Mus musculus: one gene and its partners. The protein of the gene in region 6 interacts with the protein of the main gene of each other region in a pairwise test. Links are inferred from orthologs where the notes say so. Each region holds a gene or a part of one and is shown on either strand. Other genes may lie near its edges.

Evidence for each region.
Region 1: the proteins of Trim54 (region 6) and Rabgef1 interact in binary tests that used the Homo sapiens proteins (3 or more experiments, as listed by UniProt). The two-hybrid records come from large-scale screens. The link is inferred for Mus musculus from reciprocal best matches to the Homo sapiens genes TRIM54 and RABGEF1.
Region 2: the proteins of Trim54 (region 6) and Tbc1d22b interact in binary tests that used the Homo sapiens proteins (3 or more experiments, as listed by UniProt). The link is inferred for Mus musculus from reciprocal best matches to the Homo sapiens genes TRIM54 and TBC1D22B.
Region 3: the proteins of Trim54 (region 6) and Ttc23 interact in binary tests that used the Homo sapiens proteins (3 or more experiments, as listed by UniProt). The two-hybrid records come from large-scale screens. The link is inferred for Mus musculus from reciprocal best matches to the Homo sapiens genes TRIM54 and TTC23.
Region 4: the proteins of Trim54 (region 6) and Cchcr1 interact in binary tests that used the Homo sapiens proteins (3 or more experiments, as listed by UniProt). The link is inferred for Mus musculus from reciprocal best matches to the Homo sapiens genes TRIM54 and CCHCR1.
Region 5: the proteins of Trim54 (region 6) and Ccdc146 interact in binary tests that used the Homo sapiens proteins (3 or more experiments, as listed by UniProt). The two-hybrid records come from large-scale screens. The link is inferred for Mus musculus from reciprocal best matches to the Homo sapiens genes TRIM54 and CCDC146.
Region 7: the proteins of Trim54 (region 6) and Arhgef5 interact in binary tests that used the Homo sapiens proteins (3 or more experiments, as listed by UniProt). The two-hybrid records come from large-scale screens. The link is inferred for Mus musculus from reciprocal best matches to the Homo sapiens genes TRIM54 and ARHGEF5.

Annotation. Positions count from the first base shown.
Region 1 is NC_000071.6:130,170,243-130,174,824, forward strand, and holds the start of Rabgef1 (rab5 GDP/GTP exchange factor), read left to right. Parts: upstream 1-1,576; 5' UTR 1,577-1,652; intron 1,653-1,748; exon of another isoform or gene 1,749-2,048; coding exon of another isoform or gene 2,049-2,095; intron 2,096-4,582. UniProt on the Homo sapiens protein: Rab effector protein acting as linker between gamma-adaptin, RAB4A or RAB5A. Involved in endocytic membrane fusion and membrane trafficking of recycling endosomes. Stimulates nucleotide exchange on RAB5A. Can act as a ubiquitin ligase.
Region 2 is NC_000083.6:29,598,096-29,601,911, forward strand, and holds part of Tbc1d22b (TBC1 domain family member 22B), read left to right. Parts: intron 1-1,743; coding exon 1,744-1,871; intron 1,872-2,050; coding exon 2,051-2,146; intron 2,147-3,816. UniProt on the Homo sapiens protein: May act as a GTPase-activating protein for Rab family protein(s).
Region 3 is NC_000073.6:67,664,233-67,668,048, forward strand, and holds part of Ttc23 (tetratricopeptide repeat protein 23), read left to right. Parts: intron 1-2,930; coding exon 2,931-3,054; intron 3,055-3,816. UniProt on the Homo sapiens protein: Participates positively in the ciliary Hedgehog (Hh) signaling.
Region 4 is NC_000083.6:35,515,835-35,520,265, reverse strand, and holds the start of Cchcr1 (coiled-coil alpha-helical rod protein 1), read right to left. Parts: upstream 3,014-4,431; 5' UTR 2,525-3,013; coding exon 2,327-2,524; exon of another isoform or gene 2,302-2,326; intron 2,116-2,301; exon of another isoform or gene 2,050-2,115; coding exon 1,983-2,049; intron 1,888-1,982; coding exon 1,674-1,887; intron 1,125-1,673; exon of another isoform or gene 74-1,124; intron 1-73. Other genes in the region: Tcf19 (transcription factor 19-like protein), read left to right, coding at 4,151-4,388. UniProt on the Homo sapiens protein: May be a regulator of keratinocyte proliferation or differentiation.
Region 5 is NC_000071.6:21,302,647-21,306,462, forward strand, and holds part of Ccdc146 (coiled-coil domain-containing protein 146), read right to left. Parts: intron 2,956-3,816; coding exon 2,867-2,955; intron 2,772-2,866; coding exon 2,607-2,771; intron 643-2,606; coding exon 418-642; intron 1-417. UniProt on the Homo sapiens protein: Essential for sperm flagellum biogenesis and male fertility.
Region 6 is NC_000071.6:31,114,985-31,119,460, forward strand, and holds the start of Trim54 (tripartite motif-containing protein 54), read left to right. Parts: upstream 1-1,627; 5' UTR 1,628-1,925; coding exon 1,926-2,093; intron 2,094-4,476. UniProt on the Homo sapiens protein: May bind and stabilize microtubules during myotubes formation.
Region 7 is NC_000072.6:43,264,204-43,268,467, forward strand, and holds the start of Arhgef5 (rho guanine nucleotide exchange factor 5), read left to right. Parts: upstream 1-1,440; 5' UTR 1,441-1,540; exon of another isoform or gene 1,541-1,599; intron 1,600-4,264. UniProt on the Homo sapiens protein: Guanine nucleotide exchange factor which activates Rho GTPases. Strongly activates RHOA. Also strongly activates RHOB, weakly activates RHOC and RHOG and shows no effect on RHOD, RHOV, RHOQ or RAC1.

The DNA of each region.
Region 1 (4,582 bases), about 99 Mb from region 6:
TTACATGGAGGTGAGTGGGCATCTTTGTTAGTTGGGTCTCTCCTTCTACTTTTTGTTGAAACCATTTATTTATTTTACGTACATTGGTATTTTGACTGCATGTGTGTCTGTGTGAGGGTATTGGATCCTCTGCAACTGGAGTTGCAGACAGTTGTGAGCTGCCATGTGGGTGCTGGGAATCGAACCCAGCTCCTCTGAAAGAGCAACCACCGTTCTTAACCACTGAGTCATCTCTCCATCCCCTCCTTCTTTTTTTTGTCAGGTCAGTTCCAGGATTTGGATTTAGGTTGTCAAGCCTGAATGGGAAACCTTTTACACACTGAAACATCTCTCTGGCCCTCTTTACTTGTAATCCTCTTTCATAAAACTCGCTTTCACCTCATTTGTCTGTGTCTTTCTTTAATCTTCATAGACCTTAAACATCCAACTTGGAGCCACTTCCCTAGGCCAACCTGACCCTGTCTGGCACCCTACAGCCTTGTGCCAAGCACAGCTGGGTCATGAAAGATCCTTTTATTCTCACAACTCCTGCATCATCATGTGCTCTCATTATAAAGCTATACCCCACAACCTTCCTTATATTTGCCCAGGCCAAGAACACTAGAGATGGGAACTCCTGAACTTCCTGTCTCCACCTAGCCAGGCTGGGATCACAGCCTAGTTGCTATTGGACCAATTTCCTTAAGATTCTCCTAAATTGAATCAGTTTCAAGTCCTGCTCTTAAAAAGAGCAAGCCAGGAGTGTTCATTTCTGTGGGCCATCTGCCCAGGTGACCAGGTTCTTTCTATGGACGAGTGCCCAGGAGTGAAAAACAAAATAGCAGAGTCAGAAAAGGTGAAAACAGGCATTTATTGAGACAGGGGTTAAAAAAAAAATTCTGCTGGGAACAGTGTTTTGTTTTTGTTTTTTGTTTTTTCCAGAGCTGAGAGCCAGTCTCACGGACTCTGGGTTGCTCATTTGTAGGGTTCATTCTGAATTCTCTCCTCCCCTATCCTATAACTTCATCTCCTCCACCCCGACGGTTCTTGGCCCAGGGAGATAACAAAAGCTAGTGAGGTGGCATGTCAACTGTCCAGTGGGAGCGTTATCTATCTTTACAGACAGGCAGTCATGTGCTAAACTTTTCCCTCTCGATCTTTTTCCTGACTATCTATTCCCTGCTAACTGCTCACTAGGGGAAAGGTGTGTTTGTATTTCCTTCTGGCGGCCGCATTCGCTAAGCGCTGGGAGATGTCTCCTGGTCCCAGACTTTGATGTCCCGTTTCGTGTATGGCTGTCCTCGGGGCTCCTTGTCGCCCTCAGGCTAATGCAAGCAGAAGCTGGTAGACGGAATGAGGAATGACAGGGGAAACCGCGGCTTCTCGCGAGTCACAGACACGTCAGCGAGGGCCTCACGGTCACTCGGTGTCCCCTGCCCTCAGGGACTGCCCCTTCGGGTGGACAGCCTCCGGAGCGTTGCAATCTTTTCCGGCCAGCCGCCAGCCAGTCCCCGGAAGTCCGAAGCGTCACGGAAATGACGCCACGCGTACGCACCGCGCGCGTGCTCGCGGTGCCGGGGGCGGGGCGTGCGGGGGCAGGGGCGGGGCAGGGAGCCGAGTGACTGAAGGGGCGCTGGGAGCGGCGGTCGGACGCCGGCGGAGCCGCGGAGCAGGTTCGGAGGGACGGGGGCTCCGGAGGCGCGTTCCCACACGGAGCGGGGCGGCGGCGGCGGTGTCCGGCCGCGCGCTGACCGGGGCCGCTCCGTTCCGCCTCTCAGCCGGGAGGGCGGGCGGGCGCATAGGGCCAGGCCGCCGGAGCTCTGCTGCTGCTCTCGGCCTCTCCAGCTCGGCCGAGTTCTTCCCAGCTCGGCGGGACTCGGGCTCCCGGGAGGACACGCTCCCCGGTCGTCGGCTGCCGCTCCGATCCTGTCCGAGTCCGGAGTTGTGGTTGCAGCCGGGCGGGTCCCATCCGGAGCCCGCGTGGGTCCCGGGGCTGGTGCGGCTGCTGTGGCGCGGGGTTTTGAATACTCGTCCCAGGTGCTAGAGGCCAAGGTTATGGGTGTCTCTGAATGAGAAGTCCTGAAGCTGAGGCAGGAGGATTGCCGCGAGTTTTGAGGTCAGCCCTCTGCCACTGAGGAAGACCCTTTTATGGAAAATAATAATAAAGGCAGTCCCTGATTCCGAGCTGTCTGGAAGGGAGAGCCAAGGGGATGTCCTTCCATCCCTTCGCGGAAGTTGGCTCCATAGAGGGAAGCGCCTTGGAGACTAGGTCATTGGCAGCTGGCTGTGTCTCAGAGCTGATGACCAACCTCTGTGGTTGGGAAATGTGTTGCTGGATGTGGTAGGCTCGGTCTGTCTGTGGAGTTTAGATGTGACACTGGCATAAGTTTTACAGCGTCACCTAGTTTTGTGGTAAGAGCCCCTATGGTCCCCCCACCCCCTGCCACCTCCTGGAAGTTAACTGTTGGGTCTTTTAACCTACAAACCTAGAATTACTTTTCAAAGGAAGACCCAATTAGTCACCCACTTCTGACATCCCAGTATTTGGAAATTGAGTCAGGAACAACAGTCTTGGGAGTTTTGACGTCAACGGGGCTATGTAGTGAGTTTGAGGCCAGCCTATACTACAGAGTAATATTCGATCCTCCCGCCCACCAGAGTCGCAGTTAAAAGAAAGAAGAGGCTAAAATAAAATGGTCTTGTCAAGCTTGTTACTGGGCGGTGGTGGCGGTGGCTCACACCTTTAATACCAGAATGCTGGAGGCAGAGACAGATCTCTATGAGTTTGAACAGGCCTGGTCTACAGAGTGAGTTCCAGGACAGTCCAGGCTACATAGACTGTTTTGGGGGGAGAAGAAGCTTGCTTGTTACTTGGTGATGACTGACTTTAAGGTTTACACATGTTAGATAGGGGCTGTTTAACTGAGCTACAGTCCCAGTTTCTATTCAGCCTCTGAGAGTTACTGTTTGGGGGGATTATTTATTTATTTTGATTTGTGTGTTTATTTTGGGGGACAGGGTCTCGCAATACAGCTTTGGCTGTGTAGATCAGGCGATCAGGCAAGACTCTGAACTTGGAGCATTCCGCCTGCCTAGGCCTCTCAAGTGGTGAGATTGCGGGTGTGGACCACTGCCTTGCCTGTCTTTTCTTTTGGTATGTGTGTTCACAGTGTGTGCATGTGGAGGCCAGAGGTTAGCAAATGTTAGCTATTTTCCTTGGTGTCATACTAGCCTTGACTTTCATTGAGACAGGCTCTTAGTGAACCTGGAGCTGGATTCACCTAGACTACTACTAGCTAGCCCACAAGCTACAGGGAACATTTTTTTGGTGTGGGGACTGGGGACCTGGTTCAGGTTCTCATGCTTGTGTGGCAAGTACTTTATTTTTGCCATTTATTTTGCCCCAGCCCCCCCTTTTGCCTTTGATGAAATGAAGTTGGAGTTTATTAAGAAACAGTTTTATTATAGAATTAAACCCCGGCTTTAAGGAAGAGAGAGACACTTTAAAGGACAGTATACCTCCAAGACATGTGTGTAAACTTCTTAAGAGTCTCCAAGATTTAGTGGTTCCTGATCAAAGGGTTAAGGTGCAGCCAGGATTTGAATCTTTACTTGCTTACAACATCTTGGCTGGAGAGTTAGCTCCCTGGTTGAGAGATCTGGCTGCTCTTGTACGGGATCCTGGTTTGGACGTGGTAGCTCACAACTGTCCAACTTCCAGATCCAGGGGATCTATGCCCTTTTCCAGGCTCCAGGGGTGCCAGTTTGCACATGATAGTGGACAGTAGAGATCCTTAAGGTGTAAAATGTTTGCCTAGTTTGCACCAAGGCCTTGGGTTTTATCCCCACCACGACAGAGAAAGAAAACAAAAATCTCCCACAGAATTTCATCATGGTGTGTGCTAGGCTAGAGCCCTGAGGATCAGAGCACCAGCCAACCTTTTGAAGTGTGGAGGATGGAAGAAGGGACCAGGAAATAAATACCTTCCCAAAGTGTTGAAAAATGTGTAACAGTTCAAACCAGTGAGCTGGAGTGGGAATTTTGGAGGCAGGTGAGTGTGTGTGTGTTGGGGAGCAGTGACCAGGAGAAGAGACCACCCAGCTACGTGAAGAATGCTGAAGGGCAGAGATGCCTGGGTGTGGGGCTTTTCTGTGCTGGTGACAGAGCCACGGGAGGGTATGAAGCAAAGTCATCCTTAGGTTAAGATAACTTCTAAGCAAACACACACACACACACACACACACACACACACACACACACAGAGGCTGCTGTATGGTTTAAGATGATTGTGTCCAAGGTAGTTCTGGGTTAGGGACTGTCTTTCTTGGCCATCTTTTCTGGTGATTAAGTATTTGAATTGAATCGTGTACTCATTACTAAGATTGACTCCCACTAACAGGAAATCTACTTTTATCTCTCCACTCTCAATTCATATTGGGTATTTATAGGTTCCATGGGTACTTGCTGACTGTGTGAGAGTAATCCCTGGACTTCTCCCAGTCTTTGGCTAGATACCATAGATTTTTTTTTTGTTTTGTTTTGTTTTTCAAGACAGGGTTTCTCTGTATAGCCCTGGTTGTCCTGGACCTCACTTTGTAGACC
Region 2 (3,816 bases), on a different chromosome or scaffold from region 6:
GTAGAAGGAGCAAACAGACTACTGCAAGTTGTCCTCTCACCTCCACAAGAACACACACACACACACATCCCCCCCACCAACCACACACAAACCACATACACAAACACACACACACACATATCTTCCCCCAACCACACACAAACACCCCCCCCACACACACATAAAATAAATGTGCACCATGCTCTTATGATTTATGTACTTTCTCATTAGAAAGACTGCAGCAACAACAACCACCTCACAATCCCTTCATGAGCAAGTCCCCATGCCCCCTAAGCGACCCTTGTTACTGCTCCTCTTGAAGCCCTGGACTGAGCAGTCAGGCATTATTGCACAGACTCACCTTCTCATTTTCCTCCCCAAAGCCCTCTGAAATGTGAGCACTTAATCCTCATTAAAACATGAAAAACGCCGGGCATGGTGGCAGCACTCGGGAGGCAGAGGCAGGCAGATTTCTGAGTTCGAGGCCAGCCTGGTCTACAGAGTGAGTTCCAGGACAGCCAGGGCTACACAGAGAAACCCTGTCTCGAAAAACCAAAAAAAACAAAACAACCAACCAAACAAAAAAACCAACCAACAAAACATGAAGAACCCCAACGCTTCTGGGGACAGGTACACACATGCCACCTCATGGAGGGGGCTTCAGGACAATGCCCAGGAGTCTGTTACCTCCTCCTGTCAGGTGGGTTCCGGGGTCAGGCTGTCAGGCGTGATGGTAGATGCCTTTTCCTTGTTGAGCCATTTGCTGACCTCCGATTGCCCCATTTCATAAATGAGAAGACCGTGATTTAAAAGCATCCCACCAGCGGGGCTGGAGAGGTGGCTCGTGGGTCACAAGCCCTTTTCACTCTTCCAGAGGCCCCAAGTTCAGCTCTGAGCACCCAGCTGCAGTGGCTCACAGCTGTCTGTACCTCCTGGCACTCTGATGCCCCTGACTGTGCTCATGTGCACGTGCCCACACAGAGACATATACTCACATGCACATGCCCACGCGCAGACACACGCCTGCATGGTTTTTTAGTACAAGCGCATCCTAAAACATCAGTAACAAAAAGCCCACCTGTCGAGCATTAATTTCGAAGCCGTCATGCAGGGTAGGGACCAGGCTTGTTTAACTTGCTCAGGATATGATGCAGATTCCAGGGCAGGAGCCAAGTGGCAGGTGGCAGCTAGCTTCTACTGAATTTGTAGAATGATCTCCTGGTGAGTCTCCTCCTAAGAGAAAGAAGCCGCCGGGCATGGTCGCACATGCCTTTAATCCCAGCACTCGGGAGGCAGAGGCAGGCGAATTTCGAGTTTGAGGCCAGCCTGGTCTACAAAGTGAGTTCCAGGACAGCCAGGGCTATACGGAGAACCCTGTCTCGAAAAAAACAAAAACAAAAACAAAAACCCAAGAGAAAGAAGCCACCTCTGCTGGCCGTCTGTCAGGGATGCTGAAGGCAGCTGGCCAAGGTGGCCTCCAGGCTCCCTTTCCGTGCTGGCCCTGCCCTGAAGAATGATTAGGCCCAAGCAGCTAAGTTTACCTCATGCCTCTTGCTTCATGGCCAGTGCATTGCCAGGATGGCAGCAGGCACCTGGGAATGGGTTGGTGAGATGCCTGGCATGCCATAGGCCATGTGCTGACGTCAGCCGTGAGTGGCACTGGGGGGTCAAAGGTCAGCCCACAGTGGGAGGGGCTGGTAAGAAAGAGAACCTGCTCCTGGCCCCTGAGGCCTGCTGGTAGCTCTGACCTGGTGCCGCTTTCAGAGCAGGTACACAGTCACTTCAGGAGGTACGAGGTGGAGTACCTGCAGTTTGCCTTTCGGTGGATGAACAACCTGCTGATGCGGGAACTTCCCCTACGCTGCACCATCCGCCTGTGGGACACGTACCAGGTATGGAGGGACCCCTCCCTCTCCCAGCTATCCCCGTGAAGCCTCTCCACCCACCTTCGTCTTGTGTCTGCCTTTGGAATCTCTTGAGCCCATGTTCTCTGTCACACAAGAGGTTTTAAGCTGTGAGAGGTTCACAGTTGGGGCCCTGAGGCCTACCTGACTCTCGTTTTCTTTCCCAGTCTGAGCCAGAAGGCTTCTCGCACTTCCATCTCTATGTCTGCGCCGCCTTCTTGATCAAGTGGAGGAAGGAGATTTTGGATGAGGAAGACTTTCAGGTGAGTGGGCAGAAGGGCTGCGGAGTGGCCGCACGGGCCCGAGAGACTCATCATCCACTCATTCGTGGCTGTTGGTTACAGGTATGGCCTGTGAGTCACTACGGAGGCCCAGGACGTCCTGGGAAGTGAAGCGGGCAGAGGGCCGTTCTTACAGCCCACATGCTGAGGGAAGACAGGCAGTAGACAAAGTCACGGGGGTGCCAGAGGTTCTGGGGTTAAGTACACACTACCGCAAGGCCCAGCAACCTGTGTGGATCCTTAGCGGTAGGAAGGGAGGCTGCACATTCAAAGGAAGCAGTCAGGATATGCTCACCAAGAAGGCGACATTTAAGCAGAGGCCTGAGGAGGGTGAGGGAGCAAGCCATATGGCCACTGGGGCAGAGGGCGTGACTGACCTAGAGGCTTTATGTCAGCTGTGTGCCTGGCAGTTTGAGGGGTTATGAAACGAGGCCTGAATAGGTGGCCAGAGGAAGAGCAGAGCAAGCTAAGTCAGAGAAGGCAGGTAGGGCAGGAAGTTGCTGTGAGCGCCCAGCTGTTCCTGGCAGGTCTTAGGAATGGAGTGGGTACGCCCTTGAAGGCCACTCTGCTTCTCTGTGCAGTGGCTGGAGGTGGGGAGTGTGGGCACAGCAGCCACCCAGGACACTGCTGTCATTCTCCAAGGGGTCTGGCTATGGGTAGTGACAGCAGAGGTGTACATGGCCGTGTTTGGGGTCCTTTGTATCCACTGCCCAGGCTCTTTGATGGGCTGTGTTTGGACTGTGACACAGAGAGATGGACCAGAATGACTCCGGGATGGAGGCTGAGGGGTAGGGGGTAGGGAGTTCGGGGATTCGGTGTTGGGAATGTTGGATTTGAAATGTCAGCTAGGTGTGATGGTGCCTACTGTAATCCCAGCATTCGGGAAAGTTAGAGGGAGAGGTTAGGGGTTCAAGTATATCTTTAGCTCTTTTGCAAGCTTAAGGCCAGCCTAGGCTACACGAGGCCCTATTGCAAAAGAAGAGAAAGAACTTTATGCATACAAATAGAGATGCCTAGGTAAATAAATGTACAAATGTTAATGTTGTGGCTCAGCTTCTAGGAGCCAGGGTGGACTAGACACATGAACTTAGAAGCCTTTGGTTTAAGGGGCAGGAGAGATGGCTCAACAACTAAAATGCCATTTGCAAAAGCAGGTGGGGCCTGGCTTGCCAGGCCTGAGCCTTGGGAATACCGGGTATCTGAGTTGGCAGTTAGAGGCCTAGATAGCCCTCTGCTGCCAGTCTAGGTCCTAGAAGAAGCAGATCAGTGAGCAAGCAGGATTTTTGGGGAGAGGGATTATGCAAGAGTCCGTGAGGGCTTGAAATGTCCACTTCCCTTATGACGTCAGGCCTCTTGACAGCTGGCCCTGCCCTGAACTTGACCCCAGACTGAACTTGCCTGGTACTCAGAGCTGATAAGAAGAAGCAGGAGCAAGGGGCTCAAGGCCTAGGGATCGCAGTCCTTTTAAATGCATATAAGAGATGGTTTATCTATCATCTATCTATCCATCTATCTATCCTGTTCTATCTATCTATATATATAGATATATAGATATATCCATCCTCCCTCATGTAGCCCAGGCTGGCCTCAAACCACCCGTGTAGCTGAGGATGACGCTGAACTTTTTATCCTCCTCCTCCTCCCTCCCACCA
Region 3 (3,816 bases), on a different chromosome or scaffold from region 6:
TGTGTTTTTATTCTGTGCCCATTGTGGGTCAGTCCTGGCGTTGAGTAAGCGCTCAGGCAGCTCCTCAACCAGAGCCTCACAAGAGAATTAAAACTTCACACACAAAGGCCTTTATCGTGTGCAAAGCATGAACCGCCCTCCTGTGTCTGGAACGGTACAAGCCATTTCTTGTTTCTGTGGTTCCAGTAAGGATGCCTAAGATATGACCGTGAACAGGATGGAGCTAAGGGGGTCACTGCCTGTAGAGGACTGTGGTGTGGGTAGGGGGGAATAGAGTGGGTCCGTCTAGGGTCGGGTGGGCCATGGGAGGATGTAGGACCAGTGAGCAGAGGACTAAGGAAGGAAAGAAGCAGCACGGGGGAGGTGGGGGCTTCAGGTGAGGCTTGAGTGTGCAGAGAGGAAGCCATGGGCCGCGATGACTCACAGGTGGAGAGGCAGGAGCTCAGGGAAGACCCTGCGGCTCACGAGCTGAGCGCCTGGCAGGATCTAACGTTTCACCAGGGCCCACCTGGAAGAACTCGCTTGGAAGAATATCCATTTCAATGTCACTTTTTATTTGAAAGTAAGTTCAGACTTACAGAAAAATGATGGCCCATCAGTTGTCAGCATTTGTTTTATTAGTTTATTTGCATCCTTATGGTGGCACGGAGCCACGGCCCGGGGTGTTCACTTAGAGCTCTTGTTTCTGTTCTGTCCCCCGCACTCTTCCCCCTTACAAGCGTCATTTTCCTGAGCTATCTGAGAACAGGTTATAGATACTATATATAATATGTAAGCTATTATATATCTATATATTACAAATAAAGTATAATAATTTCACTCCCTAACCACATAACACAGTGATTGAAATTAGGAAACTAATATTGTATAATACAGTCACATAATTTGTTAAAAAGACAAAGCAAAGAGCAGCTCCATTAATAGATGTGAGTCTAGCTGCAGGTTCTCTTCAGTCTCTGTCAATCTGCTGCGGGTTCCTAGCCATCTTTGCCTTTCCTGCTCTTGAGAGTTTGAATTATATATTCCAACTGTGTTGTAGGATACGTCTTCCCTTGAGTTTGTATTGTATTTCCCATAGGCGGGCCTTCACATCTCAGCATAATCAAGACAATGCCCCATAGACATGCTGACCAGCTAAACCTCTGGGCAATTCTGTCTTCTGTCAGGTCAACAGTTAGCATCGACCATCAGCAACGCTGGCAACTGTCCCTTCCTCGTGGTCTCTGCGTGGAGCTAACTCAGGCTCGCTCACAGCTTAGTGCTTGGTCCTGTGTTGGTGTGCTGGGGCTGCAGTAACCAAGTGCTCAGGGACAAGTGCTGAGGGACAAGGGACTTGAGCAGCAGGATGCTTCCCTGCTGTTCTGGAGGATAGACTTCTGAGCCTGTGTCCTGAGCCTGTGTCCTCGGCCTGCTGGTGGCTGTGCCCTTTGTGTCCTTACACGGTCATGGTGCACAAGGACGCTGGGCCTCTTCCTCTTCCGGAAGCCATCTTGGACTAGGGCCCTCATTTTATCTTAACATTTATTTGATTTTTTATTATTTGTGTGTGAACTCTGAGTGGTCTCTGAGCCACATACTTAAGGTCCTGTGTAAGAGCAGGAAGCACTCTTCACCACTGAGCCACCTCCCAAACCCCAGGGAAGTCATTTTAACCTAGTCCTCCTATAAGTCCTCATCTCCAAAGTCAGCTTCACTCTGGTATGCAGGAAGTGAGGACTTCCACGGAAGACCTTGGAGGGAAGCCAGGAGTGGTGGCGCACGCCTTTAATCCCAGCACTCCGGAGGCAGAAGCAGGCGGATCTCTGTGAGTTCCAGGCCAGCCTGGTCTACAGGGAGAGCTTCAGGAAAGCCTGGACTATACAGAGAAACTCTGTCCTGGAAAAAATAAAAACCTGTTCAGGCTCTAAGAGTGACACACACCAGGAAGAAACAAAGTGGAAACTCCTAATTCCTGGAGGTGTGGGCCTGAAACCTGGCAGTGCCTCCCTTCCTCCGTGCTGCAGCACCGGTTCAACAGGAGGAGACGCAGGCCCATCTCCATCAGAACGTGTGAAACCAATGTCAGAGCTTTGCTTGAAGGCATCTTTTCTTGCCTTGAATGCTGCCCTTGCTGGGAAGCATGGCTCCCTCTTTGTCCTGACCCTGACTACAAATGTGCTTCTCCTCTGGCTTCCCACCTGAGGCTTACTGGCCTCACTCTCTTCGCTAATGTCACAGAAGATTGTTGCTTCTTCATTTCTGTGACAAAAGCTACCTAAAGAGAACAGGGCTTGGGGGTCACAACTTGGGGGTGAACGGCATCATGGTGTCGGGAGCAGTTGATCATGTAGCATCCAGTCAGGAAGAAAATAATAAAATAAAAAAATGAATGCCAGCATTCAGCTTGCCGTATCCTTTGAATTCAGTCTAGGACTCCAGCCTGTGGGATGGAGACACCCACACCTAAGTTAAATCTCACTGGAAACACCGGCAATCAGACCTTCCCAGCGGTGTGCCTCCTAGGTGATTCTAGACCCATTGAAAGGGACAAAAGGGACAATGCTCATTATCACAGCTACAGAGGACTGCTGAGCTGAGAGCTAACTTTCCCCAGGAGCCGATCACTGCAGGAGCCGATCACTGCAGGCTAGCTAGAAGACCTCAGAGGTGGTCCGTGTCTGTTCTACCTGCCTAGTTTTCCTTCATCCCACTACATTCCCCACCACTAAAGTGTATGTACCTCTTAAATGAGTTGCTGTTTGCTTCTCGCAACCAGATGACCACTCTACTGCCCCAGCAGGTGGTTGTTTGAGTCTCTGGCACTTCCCGAGCGCTCAGCACATAGCAAGCGCTCAGGAAATACTTACTGGGTAGATCTACACACAAGCAGCCCTCGTGACTCTGGAGTTCCAAGCTGTCTACCTGATAAACTCATTTTCTTTTTCTAACAGTACAAACAGGCCATCCAGGAGCTTGTGCGCTGTGTGGCACTAACAAGAATTTGCTATGGCGACTGGCACTGGAAACTAGCGGAGGCGTATGTTAATCTGGCTCAGGGTTACCTGCAGCTGAAAGGTGAGCTTCCCGGGCACCAGCCAATGGGCTTCTGTTCTCCCTGTCCCCAGACTTATTCACACCAGAGGGATCAGGGTTTTGTGGCTCTTAAGAAGTGATTGCCTTTAGGAAGAATCATAAAGGTATGTACATATAGGTACCGACAGGAAGAAAGGAAGAGTGTGGTGTGGGTTTTTTTGTGGCCTTATTGGAGTCCTTAGTGGATAATCTGTTGGATCAAAAGATGGCAGGAAAGAAGCCAAGACATGGAATGGAGGCTTAGAGTGGGAGTGGATTCCATAGTTTTCTTGAGAGGGGAATGGGGTGGGAAAGACTCACTCTTGAGTGTAAGTAGCTAAAAATGAAAGGGAGTGGAGGGGGGCGTAGAGGGAGGGAAAGAGAGAGAGAGAGAGTGATTGATTCGCTTTTGAGTGTAAGTGGCCAAAAACCGAAAGGCTAACCCAAGCTGGCATTTGCCTGTACAACTTTAAAGTCCAAGGTGAAACTTGATTAAAAAGAATATCCCACCCACCAAGAGAATCCCAGGACTTTGGAGGCACCACATTTAGACCACACTGGAGTATATATCAAAGTAAGGGTTTTTGGTTCTCCTGTGTACTGAGAAGGGAGCTGGTGTTGGCCAGCTCAGAATGTGCAAGGGTTGAGCATCATAGAAGGAAAATAGAAGGTGGGGATGGATGCAGGAAGGATGCGGCGTGTTCTACATGCTGACTATGCTGGCTGGCTCGCACGAGCTACATATCCTCCACACTCAGGTGATCA
Region 4 (4,431 bases), on a different chromosome or scaffold from region 6:
GAAGGAGGAGGGAGGAGGAGGAGGAGGAGGAGAAGAAGAAGAAAAAGACGACTATGATGACAAAGTCACTCACGTTTCCCGATGGTGTCTTCCACTTCCCTTCCTGATTTCTCAGTTGCCAGGGGACTTCCCTACCTTGCACTATGTCAGCAGGCTGGCATCTGTCTTCTCTAAGACTCTTTCCCAGGCGTAACTGGGATTACAGGCACTCACTGTTACACCCTGCTCTTTTGGTGCGGGCTTTTTCCGTGAGTGTTTGGTACATTGCACAGGGAGTCTGAGGCGTCTGCATATCTGAATTGGTTATGTGGAGGCTCCAGAGGCATCTCTGTCCCTGAGAATGGCAGGATTTCCTTTAACTGGAGGCTAGCAATGACTTGCCACAGTTCCTTACAATCTGTCTCCTAACATGCCCCTCTGACAGAATGACACCCCAGGACACTGGGGGAAAGACACAGACGAAACAGAAGTAAGAATGCTCATTCACACAGAGCCGAATGTCCACAGGGGCTGGAGAGCCGGCTCGGGGTGCTAAGAGCGCTTGCTGATCTTGCAAAGAACCTGAGTTCAGTTCCCAGCCCCCCACATTCAAAGGCTGACAGCTGCCTGTCACTCCAACTACAGAGGATCCTTCACCCTCTTTTGGCCTCCAAGTATGAATGCTCACACACAATCATACACACATAAATAAAGTCTTTGTTGTTGTTTTTTCCAGACAAGTTTTTCTCTATGCAGCCCTAACTGTCCTGAAACTCAATCTCTAGACCAGGGTTGGGGCCTTGAACTCAGGGATCTGCCTACCTTTGACTCTCTAGTGCTGGGATTAAAGGCAGACCATACTAAGCTCAAAAATAAAATTCTTAGGGCTGGAGAGTTGGAGCAGAGGTTAAGAGTTCTTTAGGGGCTGGAGAGATGGCTCAGCAGGTAAGAGCTCTGACTGCTCTTCCAAAGGTCCTGAGTTCAATTCCTAGCAACCACACGGTGTCTCACAACCATCTGTAATAGGATCTGATACCCTCTTCCGGTGTGTATAGGAGTACAATGTACTCCTATAAATAAAACTAAATAAACCTTAAAAAAAATTTTTTTTAATAGTCTTAAAACACACATTGACACCAGGCGTGGTGGCGCACACCTTTAATCCCAGTACTCGGGAGGCAGAGGCAGGCAGATTTCTGAGTTCGAGACCAGCCTGGTCTACAGAGCGAGTTCCAGGACAGCCAGGGTTATACAGAGACACCATGTCTTGAAAAAACAAACAAACAAAAAACCAACAAAAAACAAAAAAAAAAAAACAAATAAAACCACATTCACAGAGCATAGCCAGCTCCAGTTGCACATTCCTGTAAAGGCCTGCTTAACTACTCCAAAAGGAGCCAGTATGCCTCTGGAGAACTGGGTCAGCATGTCTAAGCTGCACGTCATTTTGCTTTAAAACAGCTTTTGCAGAACTTATCCCCTCCCTTAAGACATTTACATTCCTTATGTAATGAGAATTTAAGTCCAAACATCTATTCTCACTAACCCCAACGCATGTGGTCTATGCGTCGTAGGGGCCAACAATGGCCTATAGAAAAACCACACAAGTTATAGAACCAGGGGCTGAAATGAAGGCATGCGTGTATGAAGGACCATGTGTCAGTCTGAGGAAGAGGTGATTGGCAGATCCCTACCTGCCTCTCCGCCCTAGCCCCTGCCCATCTCCACAGAAATCCTGTCCCCACGTGGTCACTGTCGACCTCTGAGCATCTAGCCGTCTCTCTAAGACATCTTGGCTGGCCGGAGATTGGACCAAGGGAACGTCTGAAGCCCAGGTCGGGGCCATTCTTGGCAGAGTTGGAAGGGGCCGAGCTTGGAAGTGGGAGGGAGGAACCAGCCCAGCAAAACCTGAGGGGGTCACAAGAATAAAGACTGTCAGATTCTGAGAGAGGGGGAGAGGGAAGAGGGAGATGATCCTGGTCTCCTTGACTAGCCTCACTGACCTGACGGTGGCAACATCTTCCTGTTATATGAATCCTGTAGCTCTTGTCTCCAGTCACCTATGTTCCCCTGGACAATAGGAGAAACAAGGATACTTCAATTCAATTTTTCAGGCCACCTTCCAAAGAAAAAGCCCTATAAAAACAAAGTCATAATCCTTAAGTTACTGACAGGTCTATCGGGCTGTACGCTTCTCTTTTCCTACTTCCCTAAGGCACACGGTAACCAAACCACTTGCTTGTCCCAACTACGCTCCTGATAGAATGAACCAGGCAACAACCCTAAGGTAAATTTACTGAGACGAGGCTTCCTTCTACTTACAGGAATGTGGGTGGTGTGCCTTTACCTTCCTCCTTAAGTGTCTACGGTCCCTGCAGCTCAGGACTCTCTGGACACAGTATAAGGAGCCCACTCTCCACAGTCCTTGCCATGGAATGGTAGGGCCGTTGGGAAGCCCATCTAGGCACCATCGAGCCAGGATTTCTGAGTCATTTCCTATTAAAGAGTTAGCCCAAGGCCTGGTCCGGGAAGAATGAGGCCACATGTGGGGTTAAGCGTCTTCCCTAGGATCCCTGAGGAATCGGAGCAGCCGGGAGCCCGTTGCTGGGAAGCCAGCTTCCTGGCAACTCATCTGGGCCTCTCTGTAACGGGCCTCAGTTGCTCTCTATCCCCTCGGCTTCCATTCCCGATGCATCTCTCTTCGGAGTCCTACAGCATCTTCTTTCCCCCACTTCCATCAGAATTCAAGTTTTTGGGTTTTTTTTTTTTTCACTCAACCCCCGCGATTCCTACCCGTTTCTCTTCCTAGACCTAGTATGAGTCTTTTTCGATGGAATTATCTTGGTCGCTCCCTGTCCTGTCTCCCCCACTTCTCTCCCGCACACACCCCGGGCTAATCCCCGTCAGGACCCTGAACTCTGAGGCTGTCTTGACCTCCTCATCTATCCTTTGACCCAGCTCCTGCACCCCTCTTGCCCTGTGGATCCCCTCCGCCCCCCTTGCGCCCCCTCTCAGACTCTTCCCGCCCCCAACTGACTCTCCCCGAACGCCCCTTACCCAGCGCGAGATCCGCCCTCTTGCCACGCCCCTTACACCTAGCACCCAGTCTAGACGCCACACCCAGATCACGCATGCGCGGGGCGGCGGGCTGCTCTACAGCTCCATTTCTCCCTACCGGAAATAGGAAGAAGAAAGGTGCAAGCAGGCACCCTGACGCCCCAAACTTTCTCCGCGCCCTGACGGCCCCTCCTCTCCCCGGGAACCCGGGAAAACGTGCCGGCCAATCAGAAGTGGCGGAGAGCGGGAGATGAGCAACTCCCCCCTGCGCATCGGCCAATAGAGCAAATGGGTGCAACTCAGATGGCCAATCAGAAGCAGCCGGCGGGGGGGCGGGCTCGCGGGCGCGAAGTCGGACCCGGGAATTCCGAAGGAGGAGTCTGCGCAGCGCGCGCGCGCGCCTTCACCCAAGCCCCGCCTTCGGGGCGGCTTCCTTGGCTGTCAAACCTCGGCGGGAGCGCGGGACGCAGGGTACGGAATCCCTTCCTCAGTTTACCCCGCGAGCGAAAAAAAGAAAGGGTGAGATCCACTTTGTTACAGAATTAGGGACCCGTCTGCGCCGCCCTTTGCGGGTGACAGTGGATTCACTTCCCTTAGGGGAACTGATCCGAAGAGCGGGGGTGGGGGGGAAAGATGGAAGGGGTGCGCTACTTGGATTAGAAAGTTTAACCATAAATTCCCTGACTCCAGGTTACACTTAGGGAGAAGACCCGTGTCACACGCACGTTTGTGTACCAGGGCCCCTTCACCCCCTCTGCCTGTTCCCAGTTGCGGTTTAAACTAGCTTTGCCTTGCACAGATTGTCGGAGGCTCCCGGATGTTGAGCCGCCTGAGGATCCGGCTTCACTGAGGTGCCACAAGACGTCTTCCTGGTTTTGCATCGCATCAGGACTTTACTGGAATTGCTTTTTAAACCTCATCTTGACAGCCTCTGTCTTGGTGCATATCCAGGCCTCTGGCGCTCTGAATCTGCACTGCTTAAGTTGGCATTAGGCACAATACTTAGCTGTTGACATCAGAGAGAACTGAATTGAAGCCCACGGTGCATGACCCAGGAGTAGGAGAGGGAATGGACTTCTGAGGTGGGCAAAGTGGTGCAGAGGGGGCACCCCCCATGCTGCCCTGTTTCCAGCTGCTGCGTATAGGGGGCGGCAGGGGCGGTGACCTCTACACCTTCCACCCCCCGTCCAAGTCTGGCTGCACCTATCGATTGGGCTGCAGGGCCGACCTGTGTGATGTGGCCCTGCGGCCCCAGCAGGAGCCCGGCCTCATCTCTGGAGTCCATGCGGAATTGCATGCTGAACTCCAAGGGGACGACTGGAGGGTCAGCCTGGAGGATCACAGCAGCCAAGGTAAGCAATGAGCAGAAGAGCCCCAGACAGGCATGAGTAAGAG
Region 5 (3,816 bases), about 9.8 Mb from region 6:
GAGAGTGACTCACAGCAGCTGATGCAGAAGGAATTCAGTGTGAGCCTAGAGTACAGGTTGTCAGCCTGTGGGACGGGACCCCCATCGGGTCACAGATCAGATATTTACATTATGATCCATAACAGTAGCAAAATTACAATTATGAAGTAGCAGCGGAATAATTTTGTGGCTGGGGAGTCAGCACACCTGAGGAGCTGTATAAACGGGCCACAGCATTAAGAAGGTTGAGAACCACTCTCCTAGCACTTCAGAGATGACTTTGTTCTTCAACTGCCCCAACCTCCCTGTTATTTCCCTTCCACAGGCAGCCTGTCTTGTCTTCATGGGAAACCCATGGCTCCCCCCGAAGGGTAAAGAACATGGCTACCTCTCAGTAGGGTCCCGGGCACTCAGCCCAGCCACATTTGCGACCCTTACCTTTCATTCCGCCGCTGTACGGCCTTCTCATACTTCTTGCGCAGCTGCACCATCTCCTCTTCGATCACGGTGATCATGCTGGCCAGCCTGTCCATGCTGGTCAGCTGGGCCTCCTTCTTCTCCTTCATTTCCTGGAGTTTAGCAGTGATTTTGCACACATCGTTCTGTATGCTCTCCTTGATGGTCACATTGTTGGAATGCTTTAGCATGGCGTTTTGTAGCTTTCTTTTAAAATAATGGCACAGTGGGGAAGATCATTACTCTCTTCAAGAATACTGAGATGTCTGAAGAGCAATGCTCACCCAGGACCTCCCAGGACACACTTTCTCTGTTGTGGGATCCTTCCTCTAGCCAGGTGACCAATACTGTCATTGTGTCAACCACTGTGTCACACTTGTTTGTGAAAAGGTCTTTTTCTGCTCTGTCACCTCAGGAGACCGAGTTCTGAGGACAGAGGTGCTTCTATTGACAATGCCTATTGGATCTGCAGACTCACATGGGTCAGGTTGGATGATATCATACGGTATTCTAATTTCCTTTTGGGTAAGAATCTGACTAGGGAATTTCCCTTTTCAATCGTGCTTTTTAATCAGGGTATTTGATATTATCTTTATCTAAGTCATCTGGGCAATGATGGCTAACAGAAAAATCCAGTTATGTAGTCTCAGGAAATCAGGAACCAAGTAGGTGGAAGATTCCAGTGGATCTTGGCATGTGGTAAACAATATATTTCCAAGACTACAATTTCTCAGGTGTTATTTCTGATGTTATTACATAGACAAACTCATTTGTCATTATTGTGTAGTAACAAAAGGTTCTACACACTAATGAGGAGGATTATAAAGAAAGGGTCCTGAGAGGTAGAGTATCTCGCCCAAGGTCTTACAGACAGAGACGGACAGAGCTGTGAGTTGAGTCTAGAAAGCGTTGTCTTAGCAGATCTGCTGTAGCCTGCCTCTCCATATGCACATCACATGCCTTAAACCTACAACCGGGGGATGCTATCCAAGAAGTGATTTGTCTCCTAACTTCAAATGCAGATAGCAGATTTATGCTTCATTTCTCAATCGAGCAATGAAAGTCAGCAGTTCATCATTAGGAAAAATAGTTTTATATTAAGTTTTGCATTCATTAAAAACTGTGACTACTAGATGGAGAACAGCAAGGATGCTCAGACACCTAGGTTGTTACCTGAGAAGCAAGGTGGAGCAGGTAGTTTTGTCTACATGACTTTGTGCTCCTGGCCGGGTGCACACGATCTGAGATAGCGAATAGAAAACACACACACACACACACATACACACACACAAGCACACACGCTTGAGCACCTTGGCTAATTCAATGACTGGTCACTCCTAAATCTTCCCAGGCCCAACCAGGGAAGTGGCCACTTACCTTAAAACTCCCATGGTTGGCCTTTTTTTCCTGCTGTTATCCCCTTCTTCTCTTCCTAGTCTGCCCTGCCCTCCACCCCCTACCCCTGTCCCCAGTTCTCCCTGCATCCTACTCCACTCCCACAATTTTCACTATGTTGCCCCTCAGTCATTGGCTACTGGCAACTTTATTGATGTATCAAAAACCAATTGATGGCAAGGACCTTCAGTGTCAACAAACACAGATTTCCGGTTAAATCAAGGTTTCCCAACCACCATCTACAGCAAGGTATTTCCCCATCTCTGAAGACTCCCAGGATAGTCTAGAGTGCCAGAGACATAGAAGACAAGGCTTTAGAAGGACACAAGCTTCAGAGAACCGTGGACTTGGCCTGGCCTAGCTGTCTTGGGAGGCACGTGTCATAGGCTTTTCTGGTTAGAGTCCACAGCTCCGGGGGTACAACATGCCTTCCTGTTCCTGAGTGGCCATGCACTCGCTCAGGCAGTAAACAAACATTCTGTGTGTCTCCGTCCGTTCCTTTAAGGTCAAGGAAGCAGGGAAGCTTGACAGGACAACTGATCTTAGGCATTAGCATTAAATACTCTCTAAAGTTTGCAACTGTCATTGTATCCTGGCAACTACAATTGTATCGATCCTGGAAATTGCCACTAGATTCTGTTTCTGATAATGTATAAAACATCTGATTGGTCTCAATCAGATTGTCACAGCCTCAGTGTTGCCGTGGCCCCTCCAGCCGGCCCATCAGGTAACCTGATCCGATCCCTTAAGCAAGCGTGGGTGCTTATGACTCCTACCGTTCTTGAGAGACAGCGCTGTTCCTTAAGATTTCCAGCTCATTTAATGACATTTTGAGTCTTTCTTTTATCTCATTTACTTTCTGATGAGCTTTGTGAAGTAGGTTTACAAATTTGTTTCTTTCATTTCTAATTGTATCATACAAGCTGGCAAATTCTCTGAGTCTGAAAACATGAGATGGTTTTTGAAAATTAAAAAGCAAGTAACACTTTTGCCCAAATAACTAAATCGTGATTCTTTTTTACCAAATTCTTTTTACCTCCTATGAATTTCATGCTTTCTCTTCTTGTATAGCCTGATTTCAAGGTCCTTTGATTTGATTTCCTTAACAATCTCACTATATCTTCGCTGAAATGTAAAAATTCATGTGAGAAATAAAACAAACAAACAAACAAAAAACCCTAACAACAACCAGAAAGCTAGGTGTAATGGTTCATGTCTGTAATGCCAGCATTTGGGAAACCAAGGAAGTAGGGTTGAAATGAATTCAGGATCAGCCTGCAATACATAGTAAGACTCTATCTTACACTATCAAAACCACCACCACCAAAAGCCACGAGATGAGACTGAGCCCCACTCCATCCCATCTGTCAGTTCTTCTTAACTTGTTGTAGAGATGAGGAGAACAGGAGATTCCTAAGCACCCCCTGGCCAGCTGGAGTGATTCCCATCAACTAGGACAAGGGGATACTTAAGATTTCAGAAGAACTGGAGAGGACGAAATAGTCCACACAGACAGGGGGGATAATTGGGGGAGGACTACTGAGGAGGAGTGACTGCAGCCTGCACTGCCCAGCCAGTCGAGCTCTGTGCTTACAGAGGGCAATGAAGAGGACTTACAGGAAGTTCGACAAACATCATGACCTGAACCCTCTGGAATTTTGTGAGAGACTGAGGCAGTGTTTTAAAGTGTAGTTCTGTCCATTTGTTTGGATGTGTGTTTTCCTTTATAATAGGCATCATACTGAGACTAGCTGTAAAACTGTACATAAATATATTAAAAAGAAAACAGTTATACCTTCAAAAGTCACATATATATGTATGTATAATATGTACATACTTATATATACATATGTAGGTATATATAGTACTTTCAACACTTTATACTAGTAGGTACTACTGATGCTCTTTAGATAGAAAATGCCTAGTGGGTGCTTTCTCAGGGATGGGAAGCATTTGGAGATTGAGTGTCTGCTGGCAGAACTCCTG
Region 6 (4,476 bases):
GGGACCATCTCTGGGCTAGTGGTCTTGGGTTCTATAAGAGAGCAAGCCGAGCAAGCCAGATGAGGCAAGCCAGTAAAGAACATCCCTCCATGGCCTCTGCATCAGCTCCTGCTTTCTGACCTGCTTGAGTTCCAGTCCTGCATCCTTTGGTGATCAACAGCAGTATGGAAATGTAAGCCGAATAAACCCTTTCCTCCCCAACTTGCTTCTTGGTCATGATGTTTGTGCAGGAATAGAAACCCTGACTAAGACAGGGCACCTCAGAGCTGTTGAGAAATTCCATCACATCCCTCTCCTCCTAGAAGAGACAGGATAGAGAGTACGTAGGCTGGAAGGAAGGGGCTAATTAAGCCCTTACTACCTCATTCCCTAAAGACCAGCCAATTTAAAGGGCACACTGTCCCACCAATCATAATGTGCCTAGTTGCTGATGCTCTATTCCACCCCTGGAAACCATATAAAAACTTATGGAACAGGCCGCCTGGGGTTGCCACCTCTCCTTCAGGTGTCATTCTGAGAATGACAACCTCAGAATGCTGGAACAATAAATTATTCTTGCTTTTGCATCGATCCCCAGCTCTGAGGGTCCCCCAGTAAGCTAAGGCTCGTCAGACTCTTACAACACAAGAGCCTGTCTTTAATAAGGGAGAGGGAAGTGTATAGTGAGATTGTTCATTGGGTAAATGTACTTGTCATCAATTCTGATGACTCAAGTTTGATTTCTGGGACCCATATGCTGCAGAAAAGGAACTGACTTGTGGGGGTGTCCACTGTCCTGTGACCTCCAGGTTGCACCCACCACTCCCCAAAGCAAATTAGTGTGGGGTTGTTTCTCTGTAAAGGCTGAGCAAGAACAAATATGGGGCAGACATGGGTCAAAAAGTTCTCTCTCGGCCGGGTGGTGGTGGCACATGCCTTTAATCCCAGCACTTGGGAGGCAGAGGCAGGCGGGCGGATTTCTGAGTTTGAGGCCAGCCTGGTCTACAGAGTGAGTTCCAGGACAGCCAAAGCTATACAGAGAAAAGCTACAAAGCTATACTGTTTTAAAAAGAAGAAGGAGGAGGAGGAGGAGGAGGAGGAGGAGGAGGAGGAGGAGGAGGAGAAGAAGGAGAAGAAGAAGAAGAAGAAGAAGAAGAAGAAGAAGAAGAAGAAGAAGAAGAAGAAGAAGAAGAAGAAGAAGAAGAAGAAGAAGAAATAGAAGAAGAAGAAAAGTTCTCTTTCTTGGTCTGGCATTCCATTTCTGAATCATGCACTCTCTAGGAGGGCCGGGATCACTGGCTAAGCCTGTGGAGGAAGAGATGACACCAGATCTACAGATCTATCCAGACCTTGCCCCCCCACTTGGGGCCATCTCTCCCAAAGGCTAGTTTAGACTTTGTTTCTGTTTGGAAAAAGGTCCCAAGCCAGAACATGGAGACCAATGTTCACAGGAGCCTTCCCAGTGACAGCAAGTGAGCCCCATACCATTCCTAGCCACCCCTTCCTGAATGAGTCAGGGCCACTCAGTCCGGGGACAGCTGTGGCTCACCTTACATGAGCTAAATTGGGAACTGGAATGTCACACGGATGCCCCTTGTGTCCCCACCCCCACAGTAATGTTAATCTCTCTAGGGAGGAAGGGACAAACAGTGCTGCCCAAAGAGTGACCAAGAGGGTGGTTTGGGGGGACAGGAGGAGAATTTCACAGGGCAAGATAAAGCTACAAGCGCCTGGTGAGGGTTCTGAGCAAGGAGTGTAGACAGAGTGTCTGGAAATAGACAGGGGTGAGAGGAGCTGTTAGGGGAAGGGACAGGACTCTTCCAAGAGGGAGCAATAGCCGGGATCCCAAGAATCCAGTCAGCCTAAACTGACCGAGGAAGGGTGCACAGGCAGGGGAGAAGGCCAACGACAGGGCCACAGCGAGGCAGGCTCCAGAGCGCCGCGGGATGAACTTCACGGTGGGTTTCAAGCCGCTGCTAGGGGATGCGCACAACATGGACAACTTGGAGAAGCAGCTCATTTGCCCCATCTGCCTGGAGATGTTCTCCAAGCCCGTGGTGATCTTGCCCTGCCAACACAACCTGTGCCGCAAGTGTGCCAACGACGTCTTCCAGGTGGGCTCAGGGAGGGGTGGGTTAGGTCACAGAGGGGGATGGGGTGGGTGCCCTCCGCTGGGAGGGAGGGGCTGAGAGGTAGGAGAGTCAGCGTGAGTCAGCAGCTGCCCTGAGGCTGGTTAGCCCGACCTGAGTCTATAGCAGCCAGGACCTGCAGAAACTGGAAAGGAAGAGAGTGGTCTTGCATAGGCTTTGTAGGAGCTTGGACTAGATTTCATTCATTTTAAGGCTTTGATTTTTTTTTTTTTAAAACTCTGGAGAAGAAATCAACGATATATTGAGATGTGTGTGTGTGCATATGTGTTGGCTAGTGTGGCTACCAGGCCTCAACTTGAAAACATAAATGATGGAAAGAGAGAACTGACTCCCGAAAGTTGACCTCTGACCTCCACTTATATGAACACAGACAAACAAACAGACAGACACACACACAGTTTAAAATAATAACTGGGAATGGTAGTGTATACCTGTAATTCTGTAATATTCAATATAAATTCAAGACTACCCCAGACCTTCCCCCTTCAAAAGGACTTTCCAGACTGTACTAGCAGGCCAAGTACAGAGGCAGATAAAAAGCTGGCTGACTAAACAAATATAGAAATATAGTTTTAACGGTCAAAATTACTAAGCTTCCAGAACAAGTTTAACAATCCCCCCTGTCCCGCCTCACACTAAAAACCTCAAGGACAGACAAAATGAGAGTCACCCTATACAAACCAACCAATGTCTAAAAAGGTTATTGGCTACACCAATTAAAATAAGCCAAACTACCCTGGTGCCTATATCCGGCCTTTACCAAGGTATAAAAAATGTGTTCTTTCTTTGTTCTGGGTCTCTTTCCGGCTTGCGTGCTGAGAGGGGGTTCCCCAACATGTTGGATAAGTAAAATCCTCATGCGTTTTGCAATGATGGCGGCGGTCTCTGTGGTCTTTGTGAGTCTTTTGTCAAGCTACACTAATTCCAGCAGTTGGGAGGCTAAAGCAGGAGGATTGTCATCTTTTGGTTTTGTTTCTGAGACAGGGTCTCTCTATGCAACCCCAGCTGTCCTGTAGCTCACCATTCAAACCAGGCTGACCTCAAACCCACAGAGATCCTCTTTTTCTTTTTTTTTAAAGAATTATTTATTTATAACATATGTGAGTACACCATAACTCTCTTCATGCATACCAGAGGAGGGCATCAGATCCCATTTCAGACAGTTGTGAGCCACCACGTGGTTGCTGGGAATCGAACTCAGGACCTCTGGAAGAGCAGTCATTGCTCTTAACTGCTGAGCCATCTCTCCAGCCCCACAGAGATCCTCTTGCCTCTGCCTCCCCAGTACTGGGATTAGAGATGTCACCACCATTCTGGAAATCAATTGTCATTTTTAAAGTTAACCTTGATTACATAATGAATTCTGGACCAACTTGGGCTACAAAACAAGACTGTTTCAAAAAGTAAATTAAAAAATCTAAAATTAAAAATTGTCGGTAAATCTATGAGAAACCCTTCAATGCCAGCAGAACCGTGTGTATTCGAGGCAGAGCCTCTCTGTCCATGAGGGTCTGATTAGACACTGGGCCAGGGCAGCAGGGGTCTCCCCAGTTTCACTACTGTGATCCTTCCTCACCTGGTAAAGACTTAGAGGGTAGCTGATATTCAGGCAACTTACAGACACCATAACTCTCTTCATGCATACCAGAGGAGGGCATCAGATCCCATTTCAGACAGTTGTGAGCCACCACGTGGTTGCTGGGAATCGAACTCAGGACCTCTGGAAGAGCAGGCAGGCAGACAGACAGACAGACAGACAGGCAGACAGACAGAAGGCAGAAACAAAATTGTACTTCCCAGAAATGCCTGGGTATCTGTGGTCATGAGGCCAAGCACAACTAGGTGAAGTCACCAGGACTATTTTGTCCACACATTTCAAAAATAAAAACAAAAGATCTGGGCTCAGTGGTACATGGCTGCAAACCCAATCCTTGGGAGTTTAAGGCTGGCTTGGACTGCAGGAGACCCTGCCTAGCCAGCTAACTAACTAACTAACTAACCAACCAAATAAATAAATACATACACACCAGAGTCCTTTATACGTTCACAGGCTTGCTTTCCAGCTCTGTGCCTTTGGTGGAGCTCTGAGTCGGTTGTGACTGGATCAGAGGTCGGGGAGAAGGAAGGAATAGAACTCACATGCACAGACACGGGACCTCGCAGATATAACTTGGCTCTCTTGGTGTTGCAATCTGTGATAGGAAAATCAGGAATATGCTTCCTGCCAGGAGACAGGCTCTATGGCACATGCCTGGGATCCCAGCGAGGAAGGGACATCACAAGCTGGAGGCTAGCCTGGGCTATGTAGCAAGTATGCCAGAATAGGTGTATAGCAAGACCCTGTCTC
Region 7 (4,264 bases), on a different chromosome or scaffold from region 6:
AAGGGAAAGTGAGCTTTCACTGAGGAGAGCCAAGGGCAGCAATGAGAATGCCCAGCTCCCTGTCCACACTAGCTGTGCCCAAGCAGGAGTGCTGACAGACACCAGCAACTTCTGCAGCAGAGGTTAACAAAATGTGTTCACCCACTAGAGATCAGGACTTTCTGAGTCCTTAGGGTTTCTCTCCCAGTCTAGAAGGAACTTTTTGACCAGCTTTAATTTTCAGATTCTCTTCACTCCTTGTTCTATGCCCTTGCTGGGTTTATGAAGCATGCTGGCCTGCCCTTATATGGCCGAATCCTAGACTTGGCATTTCTTATTATTTCCTGTATACTTCACTGCAATTATGAGTGTGTCTAAGCTAGCTAAACTCTTTAAAGTTTAATCCTCCAAAAGAGCATGACGGAACTAGGGCATTTTTTGAACACTGCATTGCTTCGGGACTATCAGAGAGGAGGCCTTTCTCCCTTGGTCATGTTTGATTCTGCAGGGCCTTCCAAACAACTGCTTAGCCTCTTCTGCCAGGGCCAGTGCAGCAGCGGTGGACACAGGGATCAGGGGACAGTCTACCCACAAAAGCTGATTGCAGTTGTGGGCCACAGCATTCCTAAAAGAAAAACAGCCAAAGAGCCTGTTAATTCTCCTGGGGAAAAAGTCATTATGGTACCCCCCAGAGCCAGGAATGGGTTTGGGGAGGGAGCCTGTGGACAGAACATCCAAAGTTCCTGTCATTAGGTAAAGGTGTGTGTGTGTGTGTGTGTGTGTGTGTGTGTGTGTGTGTGTGTATTCTCTCTCCGAATACTGGAAAGAACAGAGGAGGGTCATACAAACTGAGACATAAGATCTTAAAATGAACTCTGGAACATGGTGGCAAACAGAGGCTATCTACAGAAAAGACATAAGAATGTTTCACATGCACCCAGTGAAGAGAGAGAGGAACATGGGAAGGAGAGAGGGGGGTAGAGAGGGAGAGACAAGAGATAGAGAAGCATACAGACAGGAACAGAAGAACTTGTGCAAGAACCCTTTATCTTATGGCAAACACCAAGTAAAGAAACACGCTGACAATCCCAAATCTCAGATGTTCGGAAACATCGAGGGGCAGAAAGTCAGCCGGGTCCGGATGAGCCTCAGTTGGAGACCTGACGAGGACCCACGGAGGAAGAGACACGCAGGGGAGTCTAGGGCCACGCCGGACACCGGCGAGTCCCGTGCCCAGTTCTCTCCTGCGGCTCCTTGGTGACTCCTGCCTGGGTTCTGCCCCTGGACGGCCACGGCCTGCCGGTGCTGTGGGTAGAGCTCAATCCCGCGGAGCTCGCTCTTCCCAGCTCTGCCCGGAGCTGCCCCTCCCCCGGGAAGGTGTGTCCCTGTTTCCTCACCTGAAACTTCCTTGGGAGAAGCCGGTCCCTCCCTCCCGTCCGGCGGCAGGGGCGGGCCGCGGGTGGGGCGCCGGGGCGGCCTGGCCTGGCTGGGGACCGCGGCGGGCGCCCGGACCTGGAGGGGACTCTCGGGCCAGCCCGGGGCAGCATGTGACTCCGACCAGGTGGGTGCTCTCTTCTCTTCTGAGCCCCGGACTCTGGGTGGTCGTGGAGCCGGGTGGAGGTAAGGCAGGGGCGGGAAAGAAGAGAGAACTAGGCCTCCCCCGGGACCAGTCCCGGCCAGGTCCCGGGGCGCAGACTCCGGAAATGGGGGGCTGGGCCAGTGGGCCGGGCTCCGAGTGAGGGGCTGAGTACCTGGTCGGGACCGGGAAGGGAGCTGGAAGGAATGGCCTCCTGGCAAACTTTGCTTTCCAACCAGGTCTGAGCCTTGGAAATGGGCACCCTGCCCCGCAATGTTCCCGGGCCAATAATCAGAACTTTTTTCCACCCGGAAAGTCGGGGCCCTGGGGAAAGCTAACTCCTATGATAAAGAATTCTTGAGATTCAGTTTCTAGACGGTTCCTTACCTGGAAGTGTCTTTTTTTTTTCTTTTGTAACCAGGCCTGGGCCTTGCTTCGTTATCTTCGCGGCATTTACATGCCTACGTATGTGTGAATCTATGTACACACCTCTCTCTCCGCTGTTAACTAAGGCTCTGAAATCTGAATCAGGGATCCTTGCCCTGAGTTCCCTCTCCCCCATTTACCTGTGTATAGGGAGTTTCTTGTTGGCCTCGGCACAAGGTTCTAAGGAACGTGTAAGAGAGCTATTCGGAATATCGCGGTGCGGTAGCCCATTTTCAGAGCCCTAGTTTGGGGCATCTTCTATAAATGCCTTTTTCCAGAACTGATCCGGGAGAGCTAGCCCTAGAGCCTCAGTTTTCAAGTCTTCTTCCCCTCCCCCTTTCCTGGATCTTGGGTTCTCTGGACAATCTTGTCCTCCTGTCGGCCTAGCAGTGAACTCTGGCCAGCGCTGTGTCAGACTGAGGGGGAAGGGCACACCAAACTGGAGAGTTGAGAGGGTGGTTTTCCTTTCAGCTTCCTTCCTCCCTTGCTCTCCCACTGTGCTCTCAGCTTTACTTCAAAAGCACCAAGTCCCAGAGAAACAGCCCCCAGTGTGGCCTCTTCCCACACTTCCTGCTTTATCTACACCTGGGGTATGCAAGCTTCTGGCTCTATCAAAACAGTCATCATTTGTTAACCAGTCCTCGGGTCTAAGACAGAACCCATGGACCTTAAAAGGACTTGGAGGGGACAAGGGGGAGGCTGAGTAGAGGACAGACAGCTTCTAAATTCTAAGTTTGTGGTAAAAGAGAGATGTAAGCATTGGGAGGGACAAGTCAGAAGGAATGTGAAGGGGTACCTCTTTTCAAAAGAATACAGAAATTGAAGATGTAGCCAAAGTTTTCATATATCTGTTTTCCCTGGAGGGTATGGCTGCCCATAATGTGGTTTGTCTGAAGTTGTGTGTGGTCACGTTATGGACTTGCCTGTCTTTGGGATAGACGTCATTTGTGGTGTCTGGAATAGTCACTTACCCTGGTGTGGACAGAAGTGCGATCTCCTGAGATAATGTTGTAGAGAATGGTATAGACACAAACAGGTGTTAGCCTGTGTTGTAAACAGGACCCTGTACCTGCAATGTGTGTAGAGTAAGCTGGCCACTTGGAGTGTCTGTAAAGTACACAATGTCATTTGTATGCCAATGACAAACAAGTCACACCTTGTTTGACTGGATGGCCCCATAGTCACTGGTAGGCCTAAGGGCATAAGCATCCTCACTTAAGAGTGCTCTTATATAAGACCACCTGGCCCCTAAGACAACCCATGATATTGTCTAAGACATTGGACAATAGGTAAAAAGGTGCTTATTCCATTCTTTACTGGATTGGTTGGACAAGTTATAACACTGGTGTCATACTATACTTATTTCGGTGTCTGGAATATTGAGGGTAGTAATGTCAAACACTAAATCAAAGTACATATCTATGTGGTGATTATATGAGCTAAATGAAATGAAGAGGGTATCTTTTGGATTCCTCCAAATTCCAAGTGGGAGATTTGTTTTCTTACTGTAGGCAGAAGTATAGATGCCATTGTAAATGCAGAAGCAATCCCAAGAGGTAAGGAAGGGTATCTTTGAAATCCTTTTACACCTGGATAATTAGAAATGGACAAGAGCTAAAGTGTTGGTTGTGGAGTCTCTGTGAGACTGTGGAGGTCTTACTGTGTTCTGCACTGTTCTGTTAATGGGATCACTTGGAGCTTTGTCTATGGGGTCTTGAAGATGTGAAATGTCTCTGGTCTGGAGAGAAACCAGTTCCCTGTGGTGCTGTGCCCTGTCTCTCCCTGTATGCAGATAAATAGTGATTAGTCATCCCAGATGAGAGGGATATGAGGATGTTTCATCTCTTAACGGAATAGGTAGCTTAAAAAAATTCCGTTCTAATGCCTTCATATGAATGTTTTACAGATTTCCTTTAGCTTTATCCATATTCTAGCTGGGTCATGCCTGTTTGCATAGGATTATTAAGTTAGAATTAAATATAAGAACTAACAGTATGTGCTAACTTTGGGGTATAAACAATTAAGTGGCTTTCTTTCTTTCTTTCCCTTTTTCTCCTTCCTTCCTTCTTCCTTCCCTCCCTCCCTTATCTCTCTCTCTCTCTCTCTCTCTCTCTCTCTCTCTCTCTCTCTCTCTCTCTCTCTCTCTTTCCTTCTTCCTGGGTTTTTGAAACAGAGTTTCTCTTTGTAGTTCTGACAGACCTAGAATTCACTTAGTAAACTAGGCTAGCCCCAAACTTAAAGATCTTGCTGGCTCCACCTCCTGATTGCTGGGATTGAAGGGGC